Linked DNA regions of Sus scrofa. The protein of the gene in region 4 binds, or shares a complex with, the protein of the main gene of each other region. Links are inferred from orthologs where the notes say so. Each region holds a gene or a part of one and is shown on either strand. Other genes may lie near its edges.

Region 1 (3,289 bases), on a different chromosome or scaffold from region 4:
TGTTACAACTAGTTGATAATTTCTGTTCCAAGATCTGTGTCATTCAAGGCAGAACTCATTCCCCTCCTAATAACATTTTTGTAGTGATGGGTTAAAATAAGACTGTTCTTCTTTTACAGCCTCAAAAACTGGTAGAATCTGAGTGTCTTCAGACCAACCTCGTGGAGATGTTGTTCTCTGAAGAGTAAGATTTGATGATGGCAATTGTGTCTTGATTTCCTGATTTGCTCTAGTATAAAAGAAACTGCACACTTGCTTTGAATTCATGTTAGCAATAAATAAATGATGATTAAAAGAAAAACTGTGTATGTCTAAATAATAGAGAGTACAATTAAAATGCTCATGAACCCTTAGTCTGCTTTAATATATGGATATGTTTGAACTAAGGATAAACTAAGTCTTCAGGAGTAGCAGTAGTAGCCCAAAGGGGAGGATATTATTGGAGATGGGCAGAAATATCTAAAAGCCGCTGATAGTGAAGAAGATAGTTTCCAGACTTCTAAAGAAGTTAGGATCTTTTACTTTAAATTCCATGAACTTACAAAAGAACTGTTATCCTAAAACATCTTTGGCTTTAGAATGTAGAACTTAATCTAACCACTGAAGGATAGCAAGGCACATCTAATCCAGCCCCTGCTTTTGTTTTACAGCTGTCTGATTGTGCGGGATGAGGCAGGTGGCGGAGAGGTCAGAAGCCATACAACCTAGTGGTGGGAGGCCATATAACCTAGCCTTTTAGCCAGTCTCACTGACTATCACCTACTAGCTGTGTAACCACAGGCAAGGTTCCTAACTTGTCTACACCTAAGTGTTCTCCTTTATGAACAAGGACTGTTCTAAGGATAAAATGAGAATGCAACTAAGCACTTAACATAGTGCCTGGTTTGTGGTATCTGCCAAAAAAAAAAAGTTAGCTTTCCCAAATGAGCACAAGTATCTGAGGCACCTCACCTTTGTTATAGTCTAAGGTCGAGAGTCCTATTAGTAATTAACCACAAACACTCCCTGACCTCAATTCTCCCTTAAGGCTCTCCTGCAAAGTAGCTGGTGCTCCAGGTATGCCTCCTGCCCTGCAGAATGTAGGAAATTTATGCAGTTCCTGCTTTGATGTGTAGAGGTCACTGATTCCACTTCTCTCACTCCTTAGAAGGGTGCCGTAGCTGATCTGAGGGGACAGCAAGGTTCCTAGAGACAGATTTGCCCCTGGTCCCACTGTTCATCATGAACAGTTTTGCTTAAACTTTGGGATATTTGGTGGCTCTCCCCTTGCCCCAGCTCCCCAACTCTAAAATTGGTCTGAAGCACCTAACATTTCTACTCTTAGTCAGTTGACTATTAAATACTAATGAAAGCTTACAGATCCACAGAGAAAGAACAATTCTAGTTTAAAAGAAATAATCTATTGAGAATAAAAAATTAGTTCAATTAAATAGCACACTATCGGTTCTGGGTGCTGTCACAATAAAGGTTCGGAGCAAGAGTCTTTTTCTGTCTTCATGTACAAAAGCAATATATACATGTCGTAAGAGCCTGGTCTGGATCAGCTTTTCACTTTCCTGATGTGTTATTTTGCTGTTGCTGCTCTGCCAGGGCTTGCTGAAGGCGCATCCGCTTCCGGGAATAGTGCTGCCAATGCAGAATTTGCTGCTCATCAATGAATTTTGCACATTGAGCATTCACCAGCTCCTTGCGGAAGTGTTCATATTGGAGCAGTTCTAACATGTGTAAACACTGAGGGTACCTGGGGTTAAGTTTATAAGTTAATTATCAACATAATTAAGTCAATAACACCATGCTCTAGTTGTTATTCAAAAACGATCCTGCAGCCTACCATTTCTACGGTATCATTTGTGTTACCATACCAGATGATCCTGCAACCTAACATTAACTTAGTCTATCTTGATAGTACAGTTCTTTTTTTTTTTTTTTTGCTTATACAGAAAAGCTTATCATCAAAAGCCAGCAAAATTTTCAAAAGTGAGCAAACTTAAATTTAGAAAGATTAAATAACTTGCCTAAGACTACACAATAACTGGTAAACAGTCAACATTTGGGGGCAAATCATGCTATTCTATTCCAGTGGTTTTCAAGGTGATAAACATGAACACTATTTATTTTAGTAATTGTGGGTTTAATTAACACCTATTGGTTTTCCATAAATAATGATAAAAAGACAGCTTTTATTTTAAAAGTGAGTCAGTTTCAGAAAGAACTATGCACAAATATTGTATCCTAGTTTTCCATAGGGATATAACAATTTTGAAATTATGTACATATATGCTAAGATTGAGCAAATACATAAGTATGTACACTGTAAATAGCCAAATATCCAGCTCTCAGGAAAGGAATCTCAGATAAGGAAGGGGGGAGGCTAGAAAGAATCCTGTTGTTGAGCTGGAATTGAAAACATCAGTATGAACTGAGTGGCTTTTAACATATAGAGACAGATACAGAAATAGACACATAGACACACACACACACACACACACACACACACACACACACACACACACACACACTGTTCCTTGCTTTACGTGCAGAGAAGGCCTAGAAGCAATGGCACTCCAGTACCAAGAGTACACTGAGTATCCAGGTCGTGGGTTTTAAATAGCATTATCCAGGGTTTGTTGGCATAGCTAACACAGGGAAAGAACAAGATGAGCCTGGAATATATGTAGTGCCAGAAAGGAAAATGCTCTAAAGATTAGGCGGCTATGTCAAAAGTCCTCAAGAGCCAATTTGAAGGGGTTCCCACTGGCTACATCTGGGATCACTAGCATAAGAAAATAAAAAATTACAATCCACAAGATAAAGAATCCATATTGATTTAACCTTTTAAAATGAAGAAAGAAATCAGAAACAAGGAAACGTTCCTTCAAGTGAATTCCAACTAATAAATGAACAGAGAATGATGGAATCAAGAATATCACCACAGGAGGTCCCGTTGTGGCACAGTGGCTAACAAATCCGACTAGGAACCATGAGGTTGCGGGTTTGATCCCTGGCCTCGCTCAGTGGGTTAAGGATCCGGTGTTGCCAGGGGGGTGAGCTGTAGTGTAGGTCGCAGACACAGCTCGGATCCCGCGTTGCTGTGGCTGTGGTGTAGGTCGAGGCTACAGCTCCAATTAGACCCCTAGCCTGGGAACCTCCATATGCTGCAGGTATGGGTGTGAAAAGACAAAAAAAGAAAAAAAAAAGGCATCACCACAGAGGAGTTCCCATCGTGGCTCAATGGTTAACGAACCCAACTAGCATCCATGAGGACTCAGATTCGACCCCCGGCCTCACT
Region 2 (2,349 bases), on a different chromosome or scaffold from region 4:
CTACTTTCCTGAGCACGTTCTGACACCTTCTTACCACCACCAGGCCGTCTGTCCTGGACAGCTTTGCCTTGCTTTCCGGACAGTTAAACACTCTGAACAAAGTCTTGAAGCATGAAAAGACACCGCTGTTCCGTAACCAGGTCATCATCCCTCTGGTGCTGTCCCCAGACCGAGATGAAGACCTCATGGTAAGAGGCAGAGGGTGCAACTTGGGCAGTTGAATCCTTAGACGAGGACTTAGAGCACAGCTGTTGGGCGGCTCTTCTGGAAGTTCTGAATGTGCAGTAGGACGTCACCATGAGAAGTGAGACCTGGGAGTTCCCATCGTGGCTCAGTGGGTTAGGAACCCGACTGGCATCCATGAGGATGCGGGTTTGATCCCTGGCCTTGCTCTGGGTTAAGGATCTGCTGTTGCCGCGAGCTGTGGTGTAGGTTGCAGAGGCGCCTGGGATCTGGCGTGGCTGTGGCTGTGGCGTAGGCCAGCGGCTGTAGCTCTGATTGGACCCCTAGCCTGGGAACCTCTGTATGCCGTGGGTGCGGCCCTAGGAAGAAAAAAAGAAAATCAGTGAGGGCTGCATTTTGATTGTGGAGCCCTTGCTTTTTCCTTCTGGAGTTGGGAGAGCCACTCCTAAATAGCATTGAATTTACTCCAGGTCTGCATCACCAGGGCCGACACAGTTCTCGAACAAAAAGTATGTTCTTTTGTGACGTTCTCTCTTTCGGTCTTTGATGAAAGTGTGGCAGAGGGAGGTTTATCCCTGGGTCCCGTAGAGGTGGGGATGGGAGGAGACAGAAATGAAGGCTGGAGTGAGGGGAACAGTGTCCTGGAAAAAGCCGGATATTGTAAGTGTCTGGTTGTTTTCCCTGAAAGTGCAGTGTCTGTCTGGAGAAGGAACGATGTGTGTATCAGGCAAGAGGGAGCCTTCCTGGCCGGCACAGTAGATGAGTAAAATCTGTGTTACAGCGGCAGACGGAAGGACGGGTGCCTGTGTTTAGCCATGAGGTGGTCCCTGACCATCTGAGAACGAAGCCTGACCCTGAGGTGGAAGAGCAAGAGAAGCAGCTGACCACGGACGCTGCCCGCATCGGTGCTGATGCGGCTCAGGTGGGACTGGGTCACTGCCCTGCTGCCCCCTACCCCAGGTTTTATCCTGGGAAGCTGGGCGTTCTCCCTGCTCCTGGTAGGGATGTACAGTTGGTTTCACCCAGGTTGCCCTCGAAAGAGCACAAGGAAGAAACCTCCCTGGAATCATTTCTTGCTTGCCCTAATCTCTGCACACATTTATGTGTTTTACAGAAGCAGATCCAGAGCTTGAATAAAATGTGCTCAAACCTTCTGGAGAAAATCAGCAAAGAGGAACGAGAATCAGAGGGTGGAGGTACGGAGGGAGCGGCGGCAGAGCGGAGGAGGGAAGAGGGCTGAGGTCACTGGAGGAGGCAGGGTGGGTTTTTGTTTGTTTTTGTTTTTGTTTTTATTTGGCCACACCTGCAGCACACAGACGTTTCCGGGCCAGGGATGGAACCGGTGCCACAGCAGCGACCCAAGCCGCTGCGGTGACAACCCCGGATCCTGAACCCACTGTGCCACGGGAGAACTGTGGAAGGGCGGTTTCGGTCGTGGTGCAGGGGGGACGTCAGGCTGTGCTGCTTCGGAAAGAGCCTGCGTGCATTCGTCAGCCTTTTACACTCACGGCTGGCCTGGAGCAGGTGGAGGAGGTGGGCCCAGGGGGCAGGGAGGAGTCAGGTGGTCCGGGGGTCCTCCGGCTCTGCCTCGGAGCTGCCCGGGAGTCCAGGTGCTGCCGAAGTCAGAGCTCCGAGCCCCGGCACTCACACTGGTCTGTGCTGCTCAGTCCGTCCGGGCCAGAGGCGTACCTCAGGGTCCCCTCGCCTTTTGCTTCAGGTCTCCGGCCGAACAAGCAGACCTTTAACCCAGCAGACACTAACGCCTTAGTGGCAGCCGTTGCCTTTGGGAAGGGACTGTCTAACTGGAGGCCTTCAGGCAGCAGTGGTCCCGGCCAGCCGGGCCAGCCGGGCGCCGGGACAGTCCTCGCAGGAGCCTCAGGGTTACAGCAGGTGCAGATGGCCGGAGCGCCAAGTCAGCAGCAGCCGATGCTCAGTGGGGTGCAGATGGCCCAAGCAGGTCAGCCAGGTAAGGTGACAGGGGTTGGCATGGTGGCAGACCTTGGGCAGGGGATGGGAGTGAGCTGGGTTATCTAGGCCCCCAGCAGCTGGAGATGTTCTCCTCTCCTCCCTTGGACTGTGACCCAGAACAAGTTTGAGGAGTAAAGCTCTCATTCGAGCCTCCGTTTATAATAGGCAGCAGGCAGTGAGGAAGACCTCTGACTAGCA
Region 3 (4,001 bases), on a different chromosome or scaffold from region 4:
CGAGGCAAAAAATTTTTATGGGGCAGGCCTAGATTTTTACACCATATTTCACTGTTAAGAACTCAGTCACGTGGCCTCACAGATATGCAAGGGGAATGGAGAAATGAAGTCCCTGGCAGGGCAGCACATCTCAGGGGAGCAAGAATCTCCAGTGGACATCCAGCAGTCTCTGCCACCAAGCCCCCTACCCATAGCAGGCTTCCAGCCTTAAGCAACTCCAAGTTTAGGAAATGTAATGTATGGGCACCTTAATTATTAAAGTGAATATAACTATAAGTGATCAAAGGACTTGTCACAGTGGCCAGAAGAAAGTTCTGGAACCCATCCAGAATAAGGACCAAGAGGCTGGGATAGAATATTTATAAGGCGCAGTCAAGAGGAAAAATAAAATTACTGTTTTATAACTCTTATGGGGTTTCTCTCTTTTAACATGTAACACTATTTTTTTTTAAAGAGATTAAGCCATCTTTTAAGAGGAATAAATCAAAAGATTTCCTAAGTTCACATTTACATAGTTTGATATCCTTTATTATTTATCACTCTTAAAGCAAATGACAAATCTACTTTCCAAGGACGAAAGCTTGCAATTACTGAGGATATCTTCCAGCTCACTGCACCTCTGAAAACAGGGACGTTCCACCCAATAGCAGCGAACACTGCCCTTCACGGTGATTACTCTCACTGGGGCACTACATTTAAGCTAAGTAGGAATCTAGCTATGCTTGCCACAGACGAAAATACTGCCTGTGACGTCCCACAACTGATAAAGCTGGAGAGTCAAGCTGTTCGCGTGCCTTCTACTAGTTGTATCTCTTCAAAGAATTCTCTAAAAGTGAATTAACTAATATATATGCTATTTACTGAAAGGAAAAAATCAGCAAGGAAAAGAAACATCTTTCACGGTCTTTCATTCATTTCATCAATGAGGACACACAAGGCAGCATCTTTCTCTATAATCTGGTCTCTCCTATGACCTGAATTTTCTCTTTGTTGGTCACTCTGTCCAGTACAATTGTTGCTATCATCAGCGTCCATTGGTTCAGCTTTTACTCTCATCCCTGCTTCTGAATGGGGCAAGTCATCAGGCAAAGAAGCCAAGCAATTCTGAATCATCTCAATGACTCGTTCCAGATGCTTCTGAAACCTCTCTGCTGTCTCAAGGCGTTGCCGCTTCTGCACCTCCATCATGACTCTCAGGGTCTCTCTGGCTTGGTGGGGCCGGTATTCATTTATGAGATGATGTACATGCACAAAAAGCAGCTTAAGATCTTCTAGCTTCTCTTCCCGTTTTATACTCCCAGGACTCCTTATCAAGATATCTAAGAGATCTAAGAAATTAATAAGGATAGACATATTGAGTTTTCTCAGTTCTTTCTTGTGATCAAACTGCATAGGATGAAGCCGTTCGATACCCTGACTTTCCAAAGGGCGGATGATAAGATCATCACATTGGAACTGGTTGCCAAACATCATGTAACTGTCTTTTATTGGAGGTGGAGGCTTGGGAGCGAGGCCTTCCTGAATGTTTTCATCTGTGTATTCCTTGATGTACTGCATCGGAGGTGGCGGAAGGGCACTCACTTGCTGTGGCTCACCCATTGCAGAAGATCACAAACCTACAGAAACAGACCGAAGATTGAGAGTAGAGCTACAGAACAAACCTGCCACACTTAGTGACTACAAACAAGGTTATTTCCCTTTTTTTCTCACGGCAGTTTGGGGCCCAGGACAAAAAGAGTTCTTTTATTTCTAAAACTAACATTTATAACACAGAAAGGCTGCCATCCTTTTCTAATTAGCATTATATACTCAACTATCCAGATTTTTTTTCTTTTCTTTTCTACCTAATACTTTCACAGGCACAAAAAATATACTGTAGCATACAGATGACCCTTGAACACAGGTTGGAACTGGAAAATCTATACTCAGGTTTCCAATTGCACAGAGGGGAGGCACCCCTAATCTCTTGAGTTGTTCAAGAGTTGATTGTATTTTCAGCTATAAAGGAAATCTTCTGGTTTCCACACCCCTCACCAGTTATGCCCTATTTCTCTACCTCTCTTTATAGTCAACTACACATGCTGTCTCCCCAGCTGAGGTTACAACACTTTTATTTTATATTATAGATGCATTTCCAAAAGCAAACGCTAACTTATGGTCTAAGAAACACCTTGACAAAATTAAAATTGCTATATTCCAGACAAGTTCACATCGTCTGTGCTTTTTTGATAAAATGACCCAATTCCATACCCTCTTTTTCTGCAATGTACTCAACTATTTTTTATAGACACGTTAACTTTTCTACATCCACTAAAGAAATTTCAAATCCAAATATATCTTCAAGAGCCACAATAACCTCTATTTATTCCATTTTAAGCTTAGGTATATCAAAAAAAAAAATGGTAAGATCTCGAGTGCTCACTTAGACTGATCTTATCAGATTTTCAAGACATAACACTGGAAGTTCCCATTGTGGCTCAGTGGTAATGAGCCCGACTAGTATCCATGAGGACTCAGGTTCGATCCCTGGCCTCGCTCAGTAGGTTAAGGATCTGGCATTGCTGTGAGCTATGGTGGAAGTCGCAGACTCAGCTATGATCTGGTGCTGCTGTGGTACAGGCCAGCATCTGCAGCTACAATTCGACCCCTAACCTGGGAATTTCCATATGCTGCAGGTGTGACCCTAAAAAGGAAAAAAAAAAAAAAGATATGACACCACCCAACGTCAGAGATAACAGGTAAAATACTGGATGCCGTTTTATACTTGGAATGTATGAGGTACTAAAGGCAGCTGCCCAGTAGCTCCAAGTTTCCACCAAGCCACAGAGGTGACGAACAAGATGCTGCTGAGAGTCAGTGAGGCAGTGGCCGTGGGCATCATGAGTTACTCGAACTAAACCAACCACAATTACTGCTGTACCAGCCTTCCCCTCATTCATTTTGTCACTACCCAGTATGGTATCAACCTCCTACCTCCACAAAAACTACTCATCAAGGTCATCAACAATCTCCACATGACCAAATCCCATGGACTTTAAGGGGATCTTAATCTCTTAGCATTCTCTTTTTTTTTTTTTTTTTTTTTTTTTAATGGCCGCACCTGCGGCATATATAAGTCCCAGGCTAGAGGTCGAATCAGAGCTGCAGCTGTCAGCCACAGCCACGCTGGATATGAGACCTATACCAGTTTGTGGCAATGCCAGATCCATAATCCACTAAGCAAGGCCAGGGATTGAACCTGCATCCTCATGAATACTAGTCAAAACTCTCAGCAGCATTTCCTTAATTTGCAATACACTCCGCTTCTCCTCCAGCTTCAGTGATCCTACATTTTCATTTTCCTCTACCCCACTGGCCACTCCTTCTCAGTATCCTTTACCGCCCTTTCTTCTCTATCCAAATTTTAATGTTGGCATGCCTCAGAGGGCTGCCCTAAATGAGAATCACAAACTCAAATACCAAAGGGAAAAGGCAGGCAATATAAAGAGTGAAGCACTCTGAGGCAGGGATTAGGGCAAACTGAGCATCTGCCTGCCAGACTTGAAAGCTTCCTGCCACTAGCATTCATGTGGGAAAGAAGATTCATTGTTTCTCAGTTTCTTGATGTTTCAAGGGCAAACCCCCATATTTTTACATGAAATCTCTCAAGTTTTAAAAATACTGGCAATTAATTCCAGAAATTGTCAAGTACTGCGAGGTCAAAAAGAATTATCTGTAACAATCGTTGTTGCCTGCTGATCAGTAATTTTAGACCTGTTTCGTGTTCTCCCTTGGATGGTCTCAGTCAATTCCACAGCTTTAAATACCATTTCTACAGTGGTTCTCAACCAGGCATGATTTTGCCCACCAGAAGACATACGGTAAATGTCTTTCTGTTAACTCTTGGTTTTTTATCTCCAGACTGCGTCTGGGCTCCTTCTGGATGTTTCAAACTAGAAAAGAAAAAAAAAAAAAGTTCTCTGATTCCATCTACCGTATATACCCACACCCTACACCTGTTC
Region 4 (4,216 bases):
GTGGCTCTGGCTACAGCTCCGATTGGACTCCTGGCCTGGGAACCTCCATATGCTGTGGGAGCCGCCCAAGAAATAGCAAAAAAAGACAAAAAAAAAAAAAAAAAAAAATACAAGGACCAGGCTTACTCATCTCTCTCCTCTTCTCATCATATGTCTCCTTTATACCCAGGATTTGCCCAGAACAGATATTCAAGTGATTAATGTAAATAGGTACAATCAAAATAAGTTAAGGTTAAATAAACTGCTGGTAGACATCAATCACTAACTAAAGTCAAGTCAACCTCTCTATGCTTTAGTTTTTCAGCTTTAAAAAGCAGATAACAATGCCTATTTCAAGGGGCTATTGTAAGTATTAAACACTAAAACATATCTAACTGCACTGTGAATTTCAAGGTCTGTAACAAATCATTTCCCTCAGATATTTTTGGGCCATACCCATGGTACAAGGAAGTTCTAAGGCCAGGAATCGAATCCAAGCCGAAGCTGCAACCTATTGCTACAGCTGTGGCAATGCCAGATCCTTAACTGGCTAGGCCACAGTAGGAACTCCTTCTTCAGCTCTTTTTTTTTTTTTTTTTAAATCTTTACTCTCTTAGGGCTGCATTTGTGGCATATGTAAGTTCCTAGGCTAGGGGTTGAATGGGAGCTGTAGCCACTGGCCTACAATCACAGCCACAGCAACGCCGGATCCTTAACCCATTGAGCAAGGCCAGGGATCGAACCTGTGTCCTCATGGATACCAGTCAGATTCGTTTCCTCTGAGCCGTGACAGGAACTCCCCTCCTTCAGCTCTTGATGTAGCAGTAGGACTTGGGATGAACTAAATGTCATCCTGGAGACTTAACATGTCCAAAATGACTTGATATCCATCTCCTCAAACCTGTCCTTTCCTGATCTTAGCACTACCATCCACCTAATTATTCAAGCCAAACATTTCCAAACTGCCCTCAATTCCTCTGTCCTTCAATTCTATTTTCAATCCTGCATTCCTGTCAGTTCTACCTCTAACATTTATTTGGCATCCATTTACTTCTCTCCTCTACTGCTATTTCCTAGTTCAAACTATCATCTCTTTCCTGAACTACTAAGCTGTAACTTCTGACCAATTTTCCCACTTTTCTTCTTTTTTTTTAAGGGCAGCACCCAAGGCATATGGAGGTTCCCAGGCTAAGGGTCAAATCAGAGCTACAGGTGCCGGCCTACACCAGAGCCACAGCAATGCTAGAGCTGTGCTGCGTCTGCAACCTACACCACAGCACAGGACAACACTGGATCCTTAACCCACTGAGTGAGGCTAGGGATCAAACCCACAACCTCATGCTTCCTAGTCGGATTCATTTCTGCTGTGCTATGACGGGAACTCCCCCACTTTGCTTCCTTAATAGAGCTGCTCGAATGATTGAAAATAAGCAAATAAGTTAGAAGTTAGATCACTTCAGACTCTTGTGTCAAAATGGTTCCCCCTGAACTTAAAATGTCTTATAGAGGCCTCTGCCTACTCTCCCACCTTCATCTCCTATCGCTCTTTCCCTGTTCACTTCCCCGGAGTGCAAGTGGTTTTCTGTCCCTCAAATATTCAAGGTTATTCTCACATTGGGCCTTCTAATCTCATTTTTTGTATCTAGAGTTCTCTCTCCTCCCACTCATAAATGGCTAGCTCTTCCTTTGTGCTTATATTTTAGCTCTAATGTTATCTACTCAGAAAGGGCTCTCCTGATCACTCTAGCTAAAGCAGTTCTGCCCCCTCAATTCTTTATCACATTTCCCCCTTGTAGCCATAACCACTATCTGATACTATCTGTTTATCCGCAGATATCTGTTTATCACTCTTTGACTCCTCCACTGGCAGGTAAACTCCCAAACAGGCAAGGATCTTGTCAGTTTTGTTCACAGCTGTATCTTCAGCAATTGGAAGAGTGCTTGGTACACAGAGTGGGTGCGCAACAAAATAATTTTTTGAATGAAAGAACCTGGTTTAATTCTAATCACTTCTTCGAACACATTTTGAAACCCCGAGGCCCAGAGGAAGAAAGACAACATGTCCCAAACCAACAGGAAGTTTGAAGCAGATCTGGAACTGGGTCCGCAGGGATGTTAAATCAGGACCCTCAAATACCAAACTCAAAGCTAGGATAATCTTTAGGGAGTCAAAAACCAGCGTCAGGGGCAGGATCGGGCGTGAAAGGTGGTCAGGGAGATCCACTCTCTTCCCACCCCTAATCCATCCCAATTCCAATCATTCTTTCGGTTGTGAATCCTCAGAACCTCTTCTAGTATAGTGTTCCGAAATCGCGCCACGCGTTGCCTAGGTTACCCCTCACCCCAGTCGGAAGGCTGAGAGCCACGCCCCGCCTCTCCTCGCTATGATCTGATTGGCTGGCTTTGACCAGGCCTTGTACTCACCCGGCAGTTCCCGCATTAGGTAGAAGGGGCCACAACCGGCCGCTGACTTGTCGGAGCCGGGAGCGGCTGTGGCCGCGGTAGAGGGCGGGGCGGGGCCCGGCCCCCCGCCCGGAGGAGGAGGCGGTGGGGGTGGAGGTTTTCCAGGTCCGAAGCCAAGTGCGGTCGGGGGCGGTGGTGGGTCAGCCTGAGCTCCGAACAGCGCCGTGAAATTCTCCATCGCCTCCTCCGCCCCGGCGCTGTCTCGGTGTCTGGCGTTGGTGACGTTCATTGGTCAATCTTTTCACAGAGTACCGCCCTCCTCTTTCAGGAGCCTCTCACCATTGGGTTGCCTCGGGCCCTTCCTACCTTCTTCCTGCAACTACTTCCGTCGCCTTCTGAGAACGTTCCGGAAGTACTATTTAACTTTATTTAAATTCTCCTGTATCTCCTACTTGCCGCAGTCGCATATGTCCAATAAAACGATTTAGGTGGAAAAAAAGACAGCTAGATTAGCCAATAAAATATCAAAGCCCTTTCTCCATTTTTAACCTGACGCAGAAGCCAGTCAGAGATCTGCTTCCGGATCTAGAGGCGGTGCATCCGAGACTAGGCCCAATGGAAGCACAATGATGGGAGAGGCGGGACCAGGCTCACGGACTCCGTGGAGCGGCTGGCGCCGCTAGAGCCGGGAAGATGGCGGTTCTCGCGCCTTTAATTGCTCTTATTTATTCGATACCTCGACTATCACGATGGCTGGCCCGACCTTACTACCTTCTGTCAGCCCTCCTCTCTGCTGCCTTCCTACTCGTGAGGAAGCTGCCCCCTGTCTGCTACAATCTCCCCACGCAACGCGAAGACGGCAACCCGTGTGACTTTGACTGGGTGAGCGACCCCCCGCCTTAGGACCCCGCGACCTTGACACCCTGTCCTAGGTTGCATCTACGAGATGCGAGGTTCACCTGTTTGAGAACACCTGAGGTTCCCAACCTGTAGCGGACTTAAGCTATTAAGAATCTAGAGCCTGGGCGGTCGTCGAGTGTAAACCTCTTCACGTTTAAGATGGGAATACAGCGAGTTAGCCTGCCGGGGTCTTCTGACTCCTGAGTCCAAGGTCCTTTCCGTCTCACAATTCGTACCTACCCAAACGAGGCATCTGCACTGTTTTACAGTGCTGCTCTCGTTATGTAAAGCCTCTTGAGGAATCAGTGAGGTAAACAAGGCAAGTAGTAGTAATCTCGTTTCACTGATGAAGAAATTGATCTCGGCGTAGTTAGGAGACTTGTCCAAGGTCACACAACTAGTGAGTGGCTGGGACTTGAAACCACTCTTCTGGCCAAAGCAGCAGCACCATCAGTCATTTTAATTCAGTTAACAACTGCAGAGGGAGGACTGTATGCTAGGCACTGTGCTGCATCCTGAGAATGTAAAAATGAATAAAGTTTTAGGCCTATTGAAATGGAATTGTAAAAAAAATTCATTGTAAAGAAATCAATCTGAACTCTCTTGCAGTACTTCCTAAGTAGAAGTGGAAGGACCACTCAGAAAAATAAGATGAAGTTCTGTGCCCCCTTCTGTATAGCTGAATCTGTGTTACGAGGAAGGAGGGCCTTCCTGAGTTTTTGTCTTTTTTTTTTTCCAGGTCCCAGAATGAGTCTTGACTTTTGACAGAACTTACTTCCTTACTTTTATTCTCCTTCCCTTGTTTACTTTTTCGTACTTCCGCCGTTCTTTCCCAGTGTTATTAAGTAGCTCATGTATAGCTGTGGTGCTTCAAAAGATCCATTTGGGGGGCAGGGGGGCGAACCTGCGGGGTATGGAGGTTCCCAGGCTAGGG
Region 5 (3,473 bases), on a different chromosome or scaffold from region 4:
GGAACCTCCATATGCCGCAGGAGCAGCCCAAGAAATGGCAAAAAGACCAAAAAAAAAAAAAAAAAAAAAGAAAGAAAGAAAAAGAAGAAAAAGCTTCCACAAAAGTGACTTAATCTTTCATCTGGCCACACTCTCTGCTTCTTAAAAAGCAATGTGGTTTTCAGAACCATTCCTTGCTCCAGCTCCAAATTTATACAATGTCACCTTTATTTTATTTTTTTCTTTTTGGCTGTGCCCGTGGCATGCAGAAGTTCCAGGGCCAGGGACTGAACCCTTGCCACAGCAGTGACACAAGCCACTGCAGTGACAACACTAGATCCCCGATCCACTGCACCAGAACTCTACAATGTCACTTTTAAAGAGGCAGAAGGATATCAACCTAAATTCAAATATCCACCATTTCTGCATTTACCATCTTCTTCTCTAGCTTGGGGGATGTTTTCACTTGTACAGGCTGTAGAAACAGGACAAAAATAAAGACAAATTATGTCACAATAGAATTCTATAGTACATCTGTTTAATTATATTCTGACTGTAAGTGCAATATCTGCCTCAATAATTTCACTCAAAATACAAAATAATAGCATAATGACAGTTTAAAGCTGGTTCAATCACAATTTTACAAGCTTATTTATTAAAAATGAAAATAGAAGACTATTAAAAATAGCTAAAAAGATAACGTGTCATAGTGCTTAATGTTTCTCTAACTATCGATAAGGCTTACATCTAAATCTGATGTAGAATTCTTAACGGCACTGAAATAGTTCTCTTCTTGGCCACATGATATGTACACTGGTGCTATGAGTCTGGAAGAGACTGGCTGTGGGTACCACTTCTTGTCTTCAGCTGTGACTGCGCAATATCAGCAAGGGCACTCTGTATCTTTTCCAGAAGCATATCCCCTCGATAAACAACATCCTCCAGACATGTAGCAGCTTCATGATTTTCTTCTTCTAGCTTATACAAGCTGGCAGCCTTTATAAGACATAAATTTAAGAATCTTTTGACAAATGAAAAACTTGGAGATTATTTCCTTCTAAGGAAATAAACTGCAGTGGAAGTACCTACTTCTAAATCTGGATGACTGTGCAACCACTGTGATAGATTTTTCAGTGGCATAAATCCTCAGATCAGATATAACTTGAGAATTTTCCCTGTATGAACTATTTAAAAGATGACTTTTCAATGAGAGCTCTCTAGATTGCTATAGGAGACTCCTTTCCACACTGCTTTTAGACACTATGCTCTATTCCACGTCCGGAATGCTACCTTCCTCTCACTCTTTCCAAGGAAAAGAATCAAACTGAGGAAAATGGGAAGTTTCCTCATAACTCAAAATTGGACAACTATACATATTCAGTGCAGTCTTTAATAGACTACAGTAGTTTCCAATAAAATTCCCATTTTAAAATTGAGAGTACCTTTTAATATTATAATAAAAGGAATTAAAGGGGTTCTCTTGTGGCACAGTGGGATACAGATCTCACTGTAGCAGGCCAGGTCACTGCTGTGGAACAGGTTTAATCCCTGGCCTGGGAACTTTTACATGGCATAGGCACAGCCAAAAATTAAAAAAAAAAAAAAATTTCTTTAAAAAAGGAAAAAGGGTACTAAAGCTATCTCCTTTAATTCAAATGCATCTGAACCATATGGAAGCTCCCAGGCTAGTAGTCAAATCAGAGCTGCAGCTTCCAGCCTACACCACAGCCACAGCAACACAGGATCCAAGCCGAATCTGCGACCAACACACAGCTCACCACAATGCCAGATCCTTAACCCACTGAGTTAGGCTAAGGACTGAACCCGAATCCTCATGGATACTAGTTAGGTTCACTACTTCTGAGCCACAACGGGGAACTCCAGAAAAAGAGATTTTTACCTGTAAAGCAGCTGTAGATTCTTCACTGGGTAAGGAATCTATCAAAACATCAATGTCTTTTGCCGTTCGTGCAATCAGCGCTGCAAATAGCTGGGCATATTCTAGAGAAAGATTGTACTCATTTAGGGTATTTGAGAACCTCAAGTTTATAGAAACAGCAATCAAATTTTAAGTTAATGAAACAAAAAAACTTCTTAACTTTTTCTGTCCTAGGCTTCTAATGATTAAGGTGTAATTTTAACACATTAATCCTATTACATGTTTGAGAATCAGCTTTAACATTAACTCAAGTTAGGAATCAAGCATAATGTACATTATGTATCAGGACAATTTGATGATCATTTGAATAAAGGAATTTATGAGATGCCTTTCTTATTAAGGTCCCTGAAGTAAAATTCAGCTAAATTCATATAATTCTCCTCTAAAGGAGTAAAAAATCCATTATTTAACATAAAAAGAACTACGAGGTGTTATATAAACTAACAAAAATTTATTTCTTTTATGACAAACTTGTAGTAACATTCTCTAACAATAACATTTTTAGAAAGCCGTGAATAAGATGAATTTTTCAATAAATCTAATTTTATGGGATTAAAGGCAATGAGGGAGAGTCAAATTAAAAGAAGCCAAAAAAAAAAAAAAATCTATTTACCTTCTGTAGGATTAGCTGGCTGATCTTTGTTAATGGTTGTCTGAATATTACTGAAAGAGGCAGGAGGACCACACTGCTGCAACACTCCAATGGCATTACAAAACTGATCTGCAAGCTACAGGCCAAAAGAAATGTGGCAAAATTAGAAAGGATTTATCAGCTTTCAGGATTTTATTGGCATTGATGATGTTTCTATAATGATCACTGAGCAAGAGAATAAAATATGATAAATCCTGGATTAAGCCAGTTACTAACAACGAAATATTTTAATCATGCAAAGAAACTTCCTTTGGCATTTATTTAGTTGCAACAGTTAAAGAGAAACACAAAATAATTATTTTTCTTCCCGAGATAACAGAATGATAACAGAAATATATGCCAATACTGATTGCAAGCACAAGTTAAGACTTTTAGCGCAACAGTGGTAGAAAAAAGCAAATCTGACAGGCAAATATCTAAAATTTACCCCAGGGTAAATTTTAAAATTTGACTCCAAGGCATATGATTCCTTTTCTGAAACCAGAGTAATTACAACTATAAAGAAATGGTGGGAGAAAGACCACACCTTAAGTATTCCAAAATGTTTTTCTTGGGAGTTCTTATTGTGGCTCAGCAGTAATGAACCTGACTAGTATCCATGAGTATGCAGGTTCAACCCCTGACCTCACTCAGTGGGTTAAGGATCCAGTGTTGCCACGAGCTGTGGTGCAGGCGGCAGATGCAACTCAGACCTAGAGTGGCTGTGGCTGTGCTATGGTATAAGCCGGCAGCTACAGCTCCAATTTGACCCCTAGCCCGGGAACTTCTGTATGCTGCTGGTACAGCCCTAAATAAAAAAGACCAAAACAACAAAACAAAATTTTTTTCTCCAGGACTCAAGCTATAAACTTCTAGTGCTCTAAAAGTTCTAAAGGTCAAGAATAACAAACCCTTACTGAAACC

The links. The genes of interacting proteins can lie anywhere in the genome.
Region 1: MED19 (region 4) and MED31 share a complex: the UniProt entries of both Homo sapiens proteins name them as parts of the mediator complex. The link is inferred for Sus scrofa from reciprocal best matches to the Homo sapiens genes MED19 and MED31.
Region 2: MED19 (region 4) and MED8 share a complex: the UniProt entries of both Homo sapiens proteins name them as parts of the mediator complex. The link is inferred for Sus scrofa from reciprocal best matches to the Homo sapiens genes MED19 and MED8.
Region 3: MED19 (region 4) and MED7 share a complex: the UniProt entries of both Homo sapiens proteins name them as parts of the mediator complex. The link is inferred for Sus scrofa from reciprocal best matches to the Homo sapiens genes MED19 and MED7.
Region 5: MED19 (region 4) and MED21 share a complex: the UniProt entries of both Homo sapiens proteins name them as parts of the mediator complex. The link is inferred for Sus scrofa from reciprocal best matches to the Homo sapiens genes MED19 and MED21.

Annotation. Positions count from the first base shown.
Region 1 is NC_010454.4:50,731,681-50,734,969, reverse strand, and holds the end of MED31 (mediator of RNA polymerase II transcription subunit 31), read right to left. Parts: intron 1,742-3,289; coding exon 1,549-1,741; 3' UTR 501-1,548; downstream 1-500. Other genes in the region: TXNDC17 (thioredoxin domain-containing protein 17), read left to right, coding at 120-188. UniProt on the Homo sapiens protein: Component of the Mediator complex, a coactivator involved in the regulated transcription of nearly all RNA polymerase II-dependent genes.
Region 2 is NC_010448.4:167,864,363-167,866,711, forward strand, and holds part of MED8 (mediator of RNA polymerase II transcription subunit 8), read left to right. Parts: intron 1-43; coding exon 44-188; intron 189-653; coding exon 654-692; intron 693-964; coding exon 965-1,105; intron 1,106-1,297; coding exon 1,298-1,379; intron 1,380-1,900; coding exon 1,901-2,149; intron 2,150-2,349. UniProt on the Homo sapiens protein: Component of the Mediator complex, a coactivator involved in the regulated transcription of nearly all RNA polymerase II-dependent genes.
Region 3 is NC_010458.4:66,117,596-66,121,596, reverse strand, and holds the end of MED7 (mediator of RNA polymerase II transcription subunit 7), read right to left. Parts: intron 3,933-4,001; 5' UTR 3,860-3,932; intron 3,856-3,859; exon of another isoform or gene 3,754-3,855; intron 1,617-3,753; 5' UTR 1,600-1,616; coding exon 898-1,599; 3' UTR 501-897; downstream 1-500. UniProt on the Homo sapiens protein: Component of the Mediator complex, a coactivator involved in the regulated transcription of nearly all RNA polymerase II-dependent genes.
Region 4 is NC_010444.4:13,239,895-13,244,110, reverse strand, and holds the start of MED19 (mediator of RNA polymerase II transcription subunit 19), read right to left. Parts: upstream 2,801-4,216; 5' UTR 2,672-2,800; coding exon 2,404-2,671; intron 1-2,403. Other genes in the region: TMX2 (thioredoxin-related transmembrane protein 2), read left to right, coding at 3,076-3,264. UniProt on the Homo sapiens protein: Component of the Mediator complex, a coactivator involved in the regulated transcription of nearly all RNA polymerase II-dependent genes.
Region 5 is NC_010447.5:46,729,909-46,733,381, forward strand, and holds the end of MED21 (mediator of RNA polymerase II transcription subunit 21), read right to left. Parts: intron 2,647-3,473; coding exon 2,532-2,646; intron 1,981-2,531; coding exon 1,880-1,980; intron 976-1,879; coding exon 799-975; 3' UTR 501-798; downstream 1-500. UniProt on the Homo sapiens protein: Component of the Mediator complex, a coactivator involved in the regulated transcription of nearly all RNA polymerase II-dependent genes.